Stegostoma tigrinum: one gene and its partner. The protein of the gene in region 2 purifies or fractionates together with the protein of the main gene of each other region. This does not show direct contact. Links are inferred from orthologs where the notes say so. Each region holds a gene or a part of one and is shown on either strand. Other genes may lie near its edges.

Region 1 (7,895 bases), on a different chromosome or scaffold from region 2:
GCATTTTCAGGTGCTACTGGTATCAGTGCTAGTACCACAATTATTAAGAATACATATTAATGACTTAGATGATGAAAGTGAATGTACTGTAGGTAAGTTTGCAGATGACAGAAAAACAGGTGGGAATGCAAGTGATTAGTTTGACAAAGAGTCTGCAGAGGGTTGTTGGGCAGTTAAATAAGTAGGCAAAAACTTGGCAGATGGAACTTATTGTGGGGAAAATGACATGTTATGCACCTTAGTTGAACAGTAAAGCTCAATGTTATTTAAACAGGAAGACTGCAGAAAGCTACAGAATGATTTGTGTGTGCTCATTCATGAATCATAAAAAGCGAGCATCAGAGTTTAGCAGGTAACAGGGATGGCAAATGGAATGGTGGCCTTTATTCAAAGTGAATAGAGTTTAAAGTAGGAAAATTATGCTTAAACTATACAAAGTACTAGTTAGATGAAATCTGGGATACTGTGAACAGTTTTGGGGCCCTAATCAAAAGGAAGATATCCTGACATTGGAGTTAGTCCACAGCATGTTGTTGCGCAGAGGTACCTGGGAACCCTTGTGCATGAATCACACAAGGTTAGCTTGTAGGTGCAACAGGTAATTAAGAAGACAAATGGAATTTTGTCCTTTGATGCTAGAGGGATTGAGTTTAAAAACAGGGAGATTATGTCACAGCTGGATGGGGTGCTGGTAGGGCCATAACTGGAGTACTGCATGCAGTTTTGGTCTCCTTACTTGAGAAAGGATGTAGTGGTATTGGAGGAGGTACAGAGGAGATTCACTAGGTTGATTCTGGATTTCAGAGCTTTGGTTTATGAGCACAGCTCAAGTGGACTGGGATTGTATTCATCGGAATTTAGAAGAATGAAGAGGGATCTTACAGAAATACATAATTTTATGAGATGAATAGCTAAGACAGAGCAGGGAGAATGTTTCCATTGGCAGGTGAAACTAGAACAAAAGGGCATAGCCTCAAAATTAGGGGGAGCAGACTTTGAATTGAATTGAGGAGGAACTTCTTTACTCAAAGGATTGTGAATCTGTGGAATTCCTAGCCCAGTGATGTAGTTGAGGCTTCCTCATTGAATCTTTTTCAAGCTAAGATGATAATTTTTTGAACAGTAAGGGCAATGGTCAGAGGGGATGAACTGCTCCTCCTTCTGGTCCTTATGTGAAATTCAAATTGTCACATAGTAAAGGCACCAATTAACCCGAGTAGGTGATTCACAGATGGCATTTTTTTTTTCTTAAGTGCTTTTACTTTTCTCATCTGGAGTGAACTACTTGAGGACGAATATTGTAGTCCATGATAGTAGTCCATTCCCAAGCGCTGAAAATATCAACATAAATACATCTTGTAAACTTGCAATACCTAATGTTGGCCACTAGAGCCTGCAAATAATCCAAAACAAGAGAAGCAAAGTCTTTTCAGAATTATCAAATGTAAGACAAGTCAGTAAACAAGCAGGCAACTGGAATTTGGCTTTCAAAAATCAGTCTGTATAAATGTTACTCAGTAATTTTTATGTATCCATTGACTGTTTAAAACAAATAAACCTTTCACTTCAGTCTGTTTTTAAAACTGACAATATTTTAAATTTATTGAAAATTTTTGAATGAACCAAAAGTTCTGTCCCCTCTAAGTGCAACTGGGCATTCTGAAGGTTGCGTTTCCACCAGGTGTTGAGTCATACTGGAGAGAGAACCAATGATGTATTTCCTCAAACTCAGCAGATCCCAAGGTCCAAATTAAGATGATGGTGACATAGTGGTCACAATAGACAATAGATAATAGGTGCTGGAGTAGGCCATTCGGCCCTTCGAGCCAGCATCACTATTCATTATGATCATGGCTGATCATCCACAATCAGTATCCTGTTCCTGCCTTATCCCCATAACCCTTGATTCCACTATCTTTAAGAGCTCTGTCTATCTCTTTCTTGAAAGCATCCAGAGAGTTGGCCTCCACTGCCTTCTGGGGCAGAGCATTCCATATATCCACCACTCTCTGGGTGAACAAGTTTTTCATCAATAGACAATAGTGGACTGATAATCCACAACTTCAGAAAGGACTTGAGAAAGGATGTAGTGGTATTGGAGGAGGTTCAGAGGAGATTCACTAGGTTGATTCTGGATTTCAGAGCTTTGGTTTATGAGCACAGCCCAAGTGGACTGGGATTGTATTCATCGGAATTTAGAAGAATGAAGAGTGTTCTCAACACAAATCTAGTGTTCTGAGTACGAGTTTGAATCCCACAATGGCAGATGGTAGATTTTGAGTTTAATTTTTAAAACCAAATTAAAAGTCTCAAGATGACCATAAAATAATTTGTCTTAAAAACACATCTCATTGTCTTTTAGGATGTAAACTGCTGTCCTTTCCTGGCCTATGTGACTCCAGGCTCACAGCAATGCAGTTGACTTGTAATTGCTATGCCTATCCAGGCAATTAGGGAAGGACAATATGTGTCGACATCCCTTGAGCATATGAATAAAAATAAAGCAATAACGTCTGATTAGGTTACTGAACCACACAGCTACTGGCATAAGGTACAGCAAATTCAAAAATCAATGTCACGACTCAAAGAGTGGTGTTAGGAAGGGTGTTGATTCTTGACAGCAATATAGAGGGAGCTGTAGATGGGCTTCACGTGAATTAGGATGGGATCTCTGACCTGATAAACTAAGAGGAGGGCAGGAGAAGTAACATTAAACTGCTCATTATCTGAATGCATTAAATAAGGAACAAACCAGAGAGATAAATGACAATTGAAATTGCAGGGATATATCTACAAAGTGATCAAGGATGGGAAATAAATTTTAATATACTGAAAGAACGAGAGAAGAATAGTATTGAGAAAGGATCATGGCCCAGAAGATCAGGAAGCCAAAACACTATGAGTTGAAGATCAGGAATAATCAGGGAAACATTGGTGGGAGAATTTACAGGATCCTGATGACAGCTATACTATGTCACAGTAGGCTGCAAGGATCAGTTTAGGACCACAGGTATTTACGATGTATTTTAATGACTTAGATAAAGCAACTAAGAGAAACAAATCTAAACTAGTAGATGACACAAAGATGGTTGGGAATGTCAGCTGTAAAGTGAGGAGGACACAATGAGGCTGCAAGAAATTATGGACAGTTTAAGTGAGTGGGCAACAATGGGGCAAGTGGAGTGACATGCTGGGAAATGCAAGGTTAGTATTCAGTTTGGCATTAAGAACAAAAAAAATTTAAAAGGTGTGAAACTTATAAATGTAGATGTTCAGAAAGACTTGCTAAATGCACAAATATTCATGTGGAGTAAACAAATAAGAAGACAAGAATAGCCTGTACTTTAATACGATCAGAGTGCAGAAATACGGTCTGTTCAAAGTTTTTGAGAAGATTTGTAGCTCAGGTTGCTGGCTTGCTTGCTGAGCTGGTATGTTTGTTCACAAACATTTAATCACCATTCTAGGTAACATCTAGTGTCACCTCTGGATTGGTTTCTTATTGTTTGGTATATGGGGTCCAGCTCTACATGTTCGTTAATGGAGTTCCGGTTTGCAGGCCCGGCTTCCAGGAATTCTCGTGCGTGTCTTTGCTTGGTACTATCATTCATTTCAATACACAGACAAAGAGGGACACCAATTCAACAGGGACAACGTAGCCATCATAGGACTAGCCAAACAAAGATACACATAAGAACTCCTGGAAGTGTGGCACTCAAACCAGAACTTTGTTAACAAACATGTGGAGCTGGACCCCATACACCACCCACTAATAAACAAATCTAGAAGTGATGCCACCTACTCCAGCTAACCGAGACACATAAGTATCAAGCAGGACAGAACACCAACGCTTCACTGGTGAAACATTCATGATGTTACCTAGTATGGTGAGAAAATGCTTGCAAACAAACTTGCCAGCGCAGTAAGCAACGAACAACAGGATCTGTTCACTGACAACAAAGATTCCCCAACATGCATGTGGCACTGTGATATTACTGCCAAGTACAAAAAAAGTTCTACTTTTGGAGTATGTGACTTGATATGTTCTCATTAAAACTCTCATTATTTTGTATTTTTAACTATTCTTTTATCTATGACAGATATTATTGCTAATGCACATGATCCTTGGCAGCAGAAAACATAGCTGCAGAAATAAAGAAGCCTTGCTTAAACAGTGGGACGACATCTTTAAGACTGTGTGTATAGCTTTAGACTGAACAGTTAAGGACAGAATTTCATTGGAAACAGCATACTTGGTTCAACAGATCCATTCCTGTGATAAAAAGCTAAGTACACTGGATCACTCTTCTTTGTAAAAACAGACAAATGAGAGATGATTCGATGTAACATACAAGATTCTGAAGAGACCTGAAAGGGTGGATCGGGAACGTAATTCAAACCCTACCACTCTGGTCTCCATTCCCATCACCAAGTCCCAGCCCCTCTCTCTCCGGTCCGATATCCCTTCTCCATCATCTCTTCCCCCAATTCCATCCACTCCCTCCACCCTTCACCCACCTGCCCAGTCGTATTTTTCCGCTCGCTGTCACCAACACCACTCCCTCCCCAAAGAACACCTATCCGACCTGTCTCTATCTGCCCTGCCCATTCCACTCCGCTCCAGCCGGGCAGCACCTGTCCCGGCCTCTCTCCCACTGGCAGTACCTGATTTGTTTTATTACTATCACATGTAGGTACAGTACCTGTCCGGCCTGCCGCCCTCTCTCTCCGTACAGCCGAGTCTCGAGTTTCTCCAAACGGTCCTGCAGCCTCTTCAGCTCCGCCATTGTCAGCGCCACTTCCGCCCAACGGCGGAAATTACGTCAGAGGGCCCGGGCCCAGGACCAGGTGCGAGGCCTGGGCTTGGGATCCCGGTGCGGATAGGACTCGGGTTGGGAAGTTGCGGGGTAACTACCAGGAGCTGCTGAATAGACGGTGCCGTGGTAACGAAACTGAAAAAAACTCGGCAGGTCAGCCTTTTCGGAAAGAGAAACAGAATTACTGTTTGTTGAGAAGCGGGATGGGTTAGAAATATCAGAGCTTTGGGAGCAGCGACAGAAAAAGAGAGTAGCAAATAACGTCAAATAGCGAAGTCTGAATGATTAAGGGGAAGAAATGATGTGGTAGTGGCGGTGCCGGTGTTGGATAAGGTCAGAAGTCACACGACACCAGACAATAGTACTCCTGAGATGCTGCTTGGCCTGCTGTGTTCATCCAGCCTCACATTTTATTATCTTGGATTCTCCAGCATCTGCAGTTCCCATTATCACCAGACTATAGTCCAATAGGTTTATTTGAGAACACAAGCTTTTGAAGCCTTGCTCCTCCTTCAGGTATTAAGGTAGAGAGGAGCAGCCTTCCAACTGTATCAATTTCAGATCATAACCTTTGATCCCATTTCAAGAGCAGAGGAACAGGGCTAGGCTATTCGGCCCAGAGATCCTGCCCTCCCATGCCAGATGGGCAGACTTTTAAAGCCCCTCATTCTCAAATTTTCCTCCTTTAGATTCCCCACCTAAGGGAAATGTTTCACTTTCATTTATCTTAACTATTGCTTTAAATATTTTGTAGGTTTCAATGAAATTTGTATTCATTCTTCAATACTGTAGAAAGTACAGGTCCACTTTGCTCAATCTCTGTTCATAGGCCAGTTCTGCCATCCTGAGAAAATTCTGGTGACTTTTCATTACAGTCTCTCTGTAGCAATAATATCTTTTCTGTGATAGAGGCCAAAACTGCACCCACTACTCCAGGTGTGATCTGGACAGTTGAAGTGAGACTTTGTGACTTATGCACACAGATTTACATCTGATCCATACAACTCTATTTTGCCTTGCACCTTCATTGATCCTCTAATCTCTCTTTCATCCATAGTCTCACATGTGCACATTTTTTCTCGCAACCTTTGACTTCTCTAAACTTGCTTGAAAATTGTGACATCTCTAACTTTTGACAGTTTTGATAAGAGGCCATTTATCTGAAAGCATTGTCTCTGGAGAAACAGGGTTACTGTCTGACCTGCTGAATATACCTAATGTTTTAAATTCTTATTTTAAATTGCAGGTAGCCATTGTATGTGCCTTTTATTTAAGTGCCAATCTTGACTAAAGCTCAGAGTCTGAATGATGGTGAATAGCAGTCCTGCAGGACTGAATTCAACAAAATATCTAGGGTGATACTCTTGAAAAGTACTGAGGGAGTCACAGAACATAGAACATAGAAAAGTACAGCACAGTTCAGGCCCTTGAGCCCACGATGTTGTGCCGTGGAATAATCCTAATCCAAAAATAAAATAACCTAACCTAAATTCCCCTCAATTCACTGCTGTCCATGTGCATGTCCAGCAGTCGCTTAAATGTCACTAATGAGTCCGCTTCCACGACTACCACTGGTAAACTATTCCATGCGCTCACAACTCTAGTCAGTAATGTTATCTTTCAAATAAGGATGTTAAATTAAGGCTCTGACTGCTCTGATCACGGTAAAAGACCACATGCCACTGTAGCAGAGAAGGTTAGTTATTCCTAGCTAGAATGAAAATAATTGAATAATTTCTTTGTTAGCCGTGCTTGGAGAATGAAATTGCGAGCGCATGGGATTTAATCATTTACTCGTGTTTGGATATAATTATTCTCCATTCACTCTGTTTTGTTGATTAAATTACTTGCATAAAGTGCAGTTTCTTGATGGTATTTGGTTTTTGCAGAAAATGTTTCCATCTTGACTCCTGTGGATTATTTGCTATTATATGCTATCAAGTTGCACTTCCAGCTGATTACTTGACAGTGCATTGGCTATTAGTTATCTGAATATGGATCATAAACATCATGTGAAATTAGATATTTTGAGAAAAGCTCTGTACTTTTCTGGAGTTTAGAGACATCTGAGAATGGTGTGACATCGTGCCTCTAAAGCAGTAGATTAGGGAACAATTCATGCTTAGCTTCTATCAAATAGAATCTAAAATTCAGAGATTCTGGGGCATATACGAAAATGACTGGCTCCAAAGATGTTAGAAAATAGAAATGTTTCAAATGAAATTCACATGTTTAAAATGAAGATTGGGTGAGAAGGATGTGATGTGAGCAATTAAAAATATGCACAAAGCACTTGCTGCTAATGTAGTACCACAAATGGAATTTCACTCTGAAATGTTTTTTAATGTAAAGAATACATGCACCACTCAATTGCGATTGAACAATAGCTTGTGAAGAATCAATTCAATCTGCTGTCGTGTTCTGCTGGTTTACCTCAGTTGCTGCCATAGCAAGGTACTTTTGTTGTCTTCAATCTTCAAAGTAGCAGAAATCACACTTGGTATTCTCCTAAATTCAGCACTCATGGGCATATTTGGATGTCAAATGCTTCCATTGTCAAGTAACTTATTATCATGTGTAATGTCATCTAAAAGAACAATTCGGGTTGTTATACTTGGATGAGTCAGCATTTTCAGGAAGGTAAACGTATAGTGCATTTTTAAGTTTGCAATAAATTAGAATGGCAGACAAAGTAGACATTCTAGATTCTTAGTTTTCCAGCTGTAAGTAATTGATATTTATATATTTATATTTACAGGTTCTGATTTCCATCACTTCAGAATTATAAGACATTTCTCAAAATGGAAAATTACCAAAAAACAAAGATCACAGAACTCCCTTGTCCACAGCCAATTGCCAATCTTCCAAAAGATATTATTGAAATGAAGGTGAAGGAAGGTAGCAAAATCCGAAATCTCATGGGATACGCCATTGGAAAGATGGAATCAGCCAATATCAGAGAGATCCTTTTTACCGGCACTGGGAAAGCTGTCAGCAAAGCAATCACGTGTGTGGAGATCATGAAGAGAAGATTAAAAGGTCTCCATCAAATTACCAAGTTGTTTTATAAACAGTTTG
Region 2 (7,931 bases):
ACAATTTTGCTCTTTTGAAACCATTTAATTCATTAAGTCTTGTTTTTATAGACGTTTAGGTACCGCATACCTTAAGGTATGTGGGCTATACATGTTTAAATCCATGTTCCACTTCACTTTCACATATCTCAAAGTGCTGATGCCAACAGAGATTGGTGTTATGGATGTAGATTTACCCAGAAATCGGATTAGAAAGTAATCTTTCCAGACCATGAGTCCTCAGAATTCCAAAAATACAAAGTACATTGAATAAGAAATATAAGGATAGGCAGCTAGGGCTGAGCTACCAGGTTAAGTTCCAGGAAAAGTCATTCAGACTCAATGTTAACTGTTTCTCTCTCCAGGAATACTGCCAGACCAATTTTTCCAGCATTTTCTGTGTTTGTTTCTGCTTGCTAGCATTTGCAGTGCATTGTTTTTATTGCCAAGTTAAGGTGCTGCATTTTGGATGAGCTGTGTGTTAACCAGTTTCTGTGATAGTAGTTTGTTAGTTTATTTGGCCACTTTCAGCATTGTTGAACCCTTCCCCCAAGGCCTTCTTTTAATTGCATCTGAATGCTACCCATCTTTTTTCTAGGGACCAGAAGATTCAAGAGTCGTAGATGAAGTCTTTTTTCTAATATCCAGAAAAGCTCCCACACATAACTGGGATAACACGGTGTTCAGAAAATTTTCTGAAGAGTCGTGACCCGAAATGTCAAGCTTTCCTGCTCCTCTGATGCTGCTTGGACTGCTGTGTTCATCCAGCTTCAGTGTTATCTCAGATTCTCCAGCACCAGCAGTTCCTACTATCTCACGCACAACTGATTTTTTTTTCTTATCATCAAGTCACCCATGATATTTTTTCATTTATTAACTGCCACCAGTAAATCACTCATGTTTTCCAATTGAATAATTCATGTGCACAGCCCAGTTAAAGGCATTATAGCTCATTAAAGGTGAGGGATAATAGTTGATAACAAGGTGTGAAGATAATAAAATGTGAAGCTGGATGAACACAGCAGGCCGAGCAGGAAAGCTGATGTTTCAGGCCTAGATTCTTTTTTATATCCAAAGGGCTGTTATACATAATTAAGTGATGTTTTTCCACATTACTTTTTGTTTACATCTATGAACCAAGAGTGAATTACCTGTGTCTTACAATTGACTAATTTACATGCAAAGCTCTTATGGACAGTACAACCTATTAAAGGTTAGGGGGCCAGATTGAGTGTTTCATTTATCCAGATCAGCTCTGATACAGAGATAACAAGGTGTAGAGCTGGATGAACACAGAGGGCCAAGCAGCATTAGAGGAGCAGGGATACAGGCCCGACCAGTCCCCCTCCACCGACACTCTCATCCGCCTAGCTGAACTCGTCCTCACACTCAACAACTTCTCTTTTGACTCCTCCCACTTCCTACAGACTAAGGGGGTGGCCATGGGCACCCGCATGGGCCCCCACTATGCCTGCCTCTTTGTAGGTTACGTGGAACAGTCCCTCTTCCGCACCTACACAGGCCCCAAACCCCACCTCTTCCTCCGGTACATTGATGACTGTATCGGCGCCGCCTCTTGCTCCCCAGAGGAGCTCGAACAGTTCATCCACTTCACCAACACCTTACACCCCAACCTTCAGTTCACCTGGGCCATCTCCAGCACATCCCTCACCTTCCTGGACCTCTCAGTCTCCTTCTCAGGCAACCAGCTTGTAACTGATGTCCATTTCAAGCCCACCGACTCCCACAGCTACCTAGAATACACCTCCTCCCACCCACCCTCCTGCAAAAATTCCATCCCCTATTCCCAATTCCTCCGCCGCATCTGCTCCCACGATAAGACATTCCACTCCCGCACGTCCCAGATGTCCACGTTCTTTAAGGACCGCAACTTTCCCCCCACAGTGATCGAGAATGCCCTTGACCACGTCTCCCGTATTTCCCGCAACACATCCCTCACACCCCGCCCCCGCCACAACCGCCCTAAGAGGATCCCCCTCGTTCTCACACACCACCCTACCAACCTCCGGATACAACGCATCATCGTCCGACACTTCCGCCATCTACAATCCGACCCCACCACCCAAGACATTTTTCCATCCCCACCCCTGTCTGCTTTCCGGAGAGACCACTCTCTCCGTGACTCCCTTGTTCACTCCACACTGCCCTCCAACCCCACCACACCCGGCACCTTCCCCTGCAACCGCAGGAAATGCTACACTTGCCCCCACACCTCCTCCCTCACCCCTACCCCAGGCCCCAAGATGACATTCCACATTAAGCAGAGGTTCACCTGCACATCTGCCAATGTGGTATACTGCATCCACTGTACCCGGTGCGGCTTCCTCTACATTGGGGAAACCAAGCGGAGGCTTGGGGACCGCTTTGCAGAACACCTCCGCTCAGTTCGCAACAAACAACTGCACCTCCCAGTCGCTAACCATTTCCACTCCCCCTCCCATTCTCTAGATGACATGTCCATCATGGGCCTCCTGCACTGCCACAATGATGCCACCCGAAGGTTGCAGGAACAGCAACTCATATTCCGCCTGGGAATCCTGCAGCCATATGGTATCAATGTGGACTTCACCAGTTTCAAAATCTCCCCTTCCCCTACTGCATCCCTAAACCAGCCCAGTTCGTCCCCTCCCCCCACTGCACCACACAACCAGCCCAGCTCTTCCCCTCCACCCACTGCATCCCAAAACCAGTCCAACCTGTCTCTGCCTCCCTAACCGGTTCTTCCTCTCACCCATCCCTTCCTCCCACCCCAAGTCGCACCCCCATCTACCTACTAACCTCATCCCACCTCCTTGACCTGTCCATCTTCCCTGGACTGACCTAACCCCTCCCTACCTCCCCACCTATACTCTCCTCTCCATCTTCGGTCCGCCTCCCCCTCTCCCCCTATTTATTCCAGTTCCGTCTCCCCATCCCCCTCTCTGATGAAGGGTCTAGGCCCGAAACGTCAGCTTTTGTGCTCCTGAGATGCTGCTTGGCCTGCTGTGTTCATCCAGCCTCACATTTTATTATCTTGGAATTCTCCAGCATCTGCAGTTCCCATTATCTCTGATACAACTGAACATTTTTTTCCATATCACCCTTTGTTTTGCATCTATTAACCACTCAGAGTGAATCACCCATGTTTTACAATTGACTAATTTACATACAAAGCCCATTTTGAGCAATGCAAAACACCAAAGGTGAGGATAAGGTGCCACATGAGTTTTTTTTCCCCATCACCAAATCAAACGCCCACCCCCCACCAATCCCATTATTACCCACCCCGCCAAATCGCCATGTTTTATAACACTAGGTGCACAGGGCGTTAGAGGGCAATGCAATGCAATGTGAGGTCAGTAATAATGGGAACTGCAGATGCTGGAGAATCCAAGATAATAAAATGTGAGGCTGGATGAACACAGGAGCACAAAAGCTGATGTTTCGGGCCTAGACCCTTCATCAGAGAGGGGGATGGAGTGAGGGTTCTGGAATAAATAGGGAGAGAGGGGGAGGCGGACCGAAGATGGAGTGAAAAGAAGATAGGTGGAGAGGAGAGTATAGGTGGGGGGGGGGGGGGGGGGGGGGGGATAGGTCAGTCCAGGGAAGACTGACAGGTCAAGGAGGTGCGGCTTGGGGTGGGAGGAAGGGATGGGTGAGAGGAAGAACAGGTTAGGTAGGCAGAAACAGATTGGACTGGTTTTGGGATGCAGTGGGTGGAGGGGACGAACTGGGCTGGTTTTGGGATGCGGTGGGGGAAGGGGAGATTTTGAAGCTGGTGGAGTCCACATTGATACCATTGGGCCGCAGGGTTCCCAAGTGGAATATGCGTTGCTGTTCCTGCAACCTTCGGGTGGCATCACTGTGGCACTGCAGGAGGCCCATGATGGACATGTCATCTAAAGAATGGGAGGGGGAGTAGAAATGGTTTGCGACTGGGAGGCGCAGTTGTTTATTGCGAACTGAGCGGAGGTGTTCTGCAAAGCGGTCGCCAAGCCTCCGCTTGGTTTCCCCAATGTAGAGGAGGCCACACTGGGTACAGTGGATGCAGTATACCACATTGGCAGATGTGCAGGTGAACCTCTGCTTAATATGGAAAGTCATCTTGGGGCCTGGGATAGGGGTGAGGGAGGAGGTGTGGGGGCAAGTGTAGCATTTCCTGCGGTTGCAGGGGAAGGTGCTGGGTGTGGTGGGGTTGGAGGGCAGTGTGGAGCGAACAAGGGAGTCACGGAGAGAGTGGTCTCTCCGGAAAGCAGACAAGGGTGGCGATGGAAAAATGTCTTGGGTGGTGGGGTCGGATTGTAGATGGCGGAAGTGTCGGACGATGATGCGTTGTATCCGGAGATTGGTGGGGTGGTACGTGAGGACGAGGGGGATCCTCGTAGGGCGGGTGTGGGGTGTGAGGGATGTGTTGCGGGAAATGCGGGAGACGTGGTCGAGGGCGTTCTCGATCACTGTGGAGGGAAAGTTGCGGTCCTTAAAGAACTTGGACATCTGGGACGTGTGGGAGTGGAATGCCTCATCGTGGGAGCAGAAGCGGCGGAGGCGGAGGAATTGGGAATAGGGGATGGAATTTTTGCAGGAGGGTGGGTGGGAGGAGGTGTATTCTAGGTAGCTGTGGGAGTCGGTGGGCTTGAAATGGACATCAGTTACAAGCTGGTTGCCTGAGATGGAGACTGAGAGGTCCAGGAAGGTGAGGGATGTGCTGGAGATGGGCCAGGTGAACTGAAGGTTGGGGTGGAAGGTGTTGGTGAAGTGGATGAACTGTTCGAGCTCCTCTGGGGAGCAAGAGGCGGCGCCGATACAGTCATCAATGTACCGGAGGAAGAGGTGGGGTTTGGGGCCTGTGTAGATGCGGAAGAGGGACTGTTCCATGTGAGGTCAGATTGGGTTGTGGTGCCGTACCTGTTCTTGATGCAGTGTTGAGAGTTGGGCCTGCGATCCCGCCCTCTGGGAGGCTGTCCGCTCGCTGCTGGAGGAGGAGGAACCTTGCTGTTCTGGAAGATGGCGGCGCCTGACGGTTGGAACGCCGTGCACATTCCACGGCCGGGCTCGTGCTGTAGCGTGGCCGCGCCGCCTGCGTGCCGTTGGCCACACACAGGTACCGCAGCGGCACGAGCTTCCCGCTCACACTGCTAACGGTCACATACACTGTGTCTGTCTTTCTCGCTCACTCATACTGCTAGGCCCAAGTATTTCACATTAACTCGGAAAGCTATGATCGGTTTACTGCAATGAGGAAAGTTGGAACCGTCTTAGTTCCCCGCGTGTGCCAGCTACGTTACTCAAAAAGCAGAAAGTGCTGCAAAAGCTCGGTAGAGAGAGGAAAACCGTTAACGTTTAGAGTCCAGGTGTTTCTTCGAAACCCCGAAGTTTGACTCTCGCTCGTTTTATTAATTCATTTTCTTTCAGTATGTAATATATTCTGCTGTCACCGTTTCTTTCCCAGCCTCCCTCAATGGCTCCAGTTTTGGTTTAATCATTGTGTTTTACATACACGTGCGCAGCTTTATGGAAAAGAACGCTGGAAATGTTCGGCAAATCTGCGATCGCTTATGGAGAGAGAAATAGTTATTAAATGATGTTTGATGGTGACAACATTGTCTTCTGCCCTGCATAGTGAGCTAGAAGAATTTTTGTGGGGTGTGGGAATTTGCTGGCACTGTTGTAGCATGCGTTCAGTTCTGGTCTCCCTGCTGTACGAAGGATGTTGTGAAACTATCAGGGTTGGAGGGTTTGAGCTACTGGGAGAAGTGGGCTGGGGGCTGTTTACCCTGGATCATTGGAGGCTGAAGGAGTGACCTTACAGAGGTTTATAAAACCATGAGGGGCACGGATAGGGTAAATAGACAGGTCTTTTCCCCAGGGTAGGGGAGACCAAAACTAGGGGGCACCGACTTGAGATGACAGGGAAGAGACTTAAAAGGGACCTAAGGGGTAACTTTTTCACGCAGAGGGTGGTGTGTGTGGAATGAGCTGCCAGAGGAAGTGTTGGAGGCTGGTACAATTAATATTTAAAAGGCATCTGAATGGGTATATGAATTGGAAGGGTTTAGAGGGATATGGGCAAAATCCTGACAAACGGTACTGGATTATTTTAGGATTTTTTTTGGCGCGGGTGAGTTGGATTGAAGGGTCTGTTTCCATGCTGTACAGCTGTATGAGTCTTATGTTTAACATAGATGCCATTACAATTCACTACAAATAACTGGATAACTTATTTAAATTTCCCCACAATTCAAACTGAAATTGGCATCTAATTTTTAACCTCCCTGTAGGTTTTATGAAGTTACTGGATTTCATGTTGATTCCTATTTCAACTTGCTGTTACAAATTAGGACTGATAATCAAGTACCTTTTTTGTGACCTGCACAAGGACGTAATGTCTCTGGTCTAGGAAGGGAGCATTTGAAATTGGAATTACTTTCATACAGATTGTAAACTGCTTTAGACATTTTTAAAATTTGAAGTTTTGTTTATTTCTTCCTCATCTCTCTAGTAAACAACTTTCATTTCAACTATGCGTGATAATGGGAACTGCAGATGCTGGAGAATCCAAGATAAAATGTGAGGCTGGATGAACACAGCAGGCCCAGCAGCATCTCAGGAGCACAAAAGCTGACGTTTTGGGCCTAGACCCTTCATCAGAGGGTGAAGGGTCTAGGCCCAAAACGTCAGCTTTTGTGCTCCTGAGATGCTGCTGGGCTTGCTGTGTTCATCCAGCCTCACATTTTATTATCTTTCATTTCAACTAATTTCCCTTTACCGAATTTTATTCTAAGGTATGGTGGTAGTTGGTCAGGCAACATCTGTAAGTTTTCTATAGATGCTATCTGGTCTGAGTATTTGCAGGATTTCTTGTTTTTAATTTGATGTCAGCATGTGTATTTTATATTACTGTTTTTCCTACTGTCATTTGTGTTTGTCTCAGATATGTTGGCTGAATTGCTACCACAGTCCTCTCTGAGGAATGCCTGTGGTTCAAGATTTTGAACACAAACAAGGCCTGTGCTTCAAATGAAATACTGAATATGTTGGCTTAAACATGATGACGTTATGGATGTGAGTTTGCTCGCTGAGCTGGAAGGTTAGTTTTCAGACGTTTCGTCACCATTCTAGGTAACATCATCAGTGAGCCTCCGACGAAGCGCTGGTGTTATGTCCCGCTTTCTATTTATCTGGTTAGGTTTCCTTAACCAGATAAATAGAAAGCGGGACATAACACCAGCGCTTAGTCGGAGGCTCACTGATGATGTTACCTAGATTAGTGACGAAACGTCTGAAAACGAACCTTCCAGCTCAGCGAGCAAACTCACATCCAGAACCTCAACCTGAGCTACAAATCTTCTCCAAATGATGACATTATTTTCAGAGGAAGTCTGGAAAGCATCATATGTCCTGGGCAATATTTATCTTTCAGTTCAAGAATGACAACTTATATTTTTATAGCACCTTTTAACATGGTACAAGACCCCAAGGTGCTAAGCAAATAACAATAAGATACAATTTAACATGGTATCCAAAAAGAAATATTAGATCAGATCACCAAAAAATGATTTTAATGAGCACACAGAGGCAGAAACATGACCATAAGTGGTGAAGGAATTAAAATCTTTGTGCGTGTTAAGTCAGGGTTGGAGAAATGTAGGGTTGTTAGTGTGTTGTGATGCTGGAACAGATTAGAGGTAAAGAGGGCCAAGGCCATGGAGGAGACATTTGAATTCCAGGTATTTCTGGACTAGGATCCAGATGGCAGATCTAGATGGTATGAAGTTAAATACAGTGGATGCCCACAGACAATTGAAGATTCAAGCGCATAGGCCTTTAAAACACCACAAACAGTTATAATAAATAATAAGAAAGCTAATGGAACACTGGCCTTTATATCTAGAGGACTGGAATATAAGGATGCCAAAGTTATACTGCAGCTACACAGAACTCTGATTATACTC

Evidence for each region.
Region 1: the proteins of nepro (region 2) and rpp25l purify together in Homo sapiens (affinity purification with mass spectrometry; 3 studies listed by BioGRID and IntAct, with this or other methods). This does not show direct contact. The link is inferred for Stegostoma tigrinum from reciprocal best matches to the Homo sapiens genes RMP64 and RPP25L.

What each region holds. Positions count from the first base shown.
Region 1 is NC_081354.1:146,847,181-146,855,075, reverse strand, and holds the start of rpp25l (ribonuclease P protein subunit p25-like protein), read left to right. Parts: upstream 1-4,815; 5' UTR 4,816-4,970; intron 4,971-7,575; 5' UTR 7,576-7,618; coding exon 7,619-7,895. Other genes in the region: dctn3 (dynactin subunit 3), read right to left, coding at 4,704-4,787. UniProt on the Homo sapiens protein: May be a component of ribonuclease P or MRP.
Region 2 is NC_081359.1:2,544,206-2,552,136, reverse strand, and holds the start of nepro (nucleolus and neural progenitor protein), read left to right. Parts: upstream 1-4,842; 5' UTR 4,843-4,983; coding exon 4,984-5,080; intron 5,081-5,097; exon of another isoform or gene 5,098-5,330; intron 5,331-7,931. UniProt on the Homo sapiens protein: May play a role in cortex development as part of the Notch signaling pathway. Downstream of Notch may repress the expression of proneural genes and inhibit neuronal differentiation thereby maintaining neural progenitors.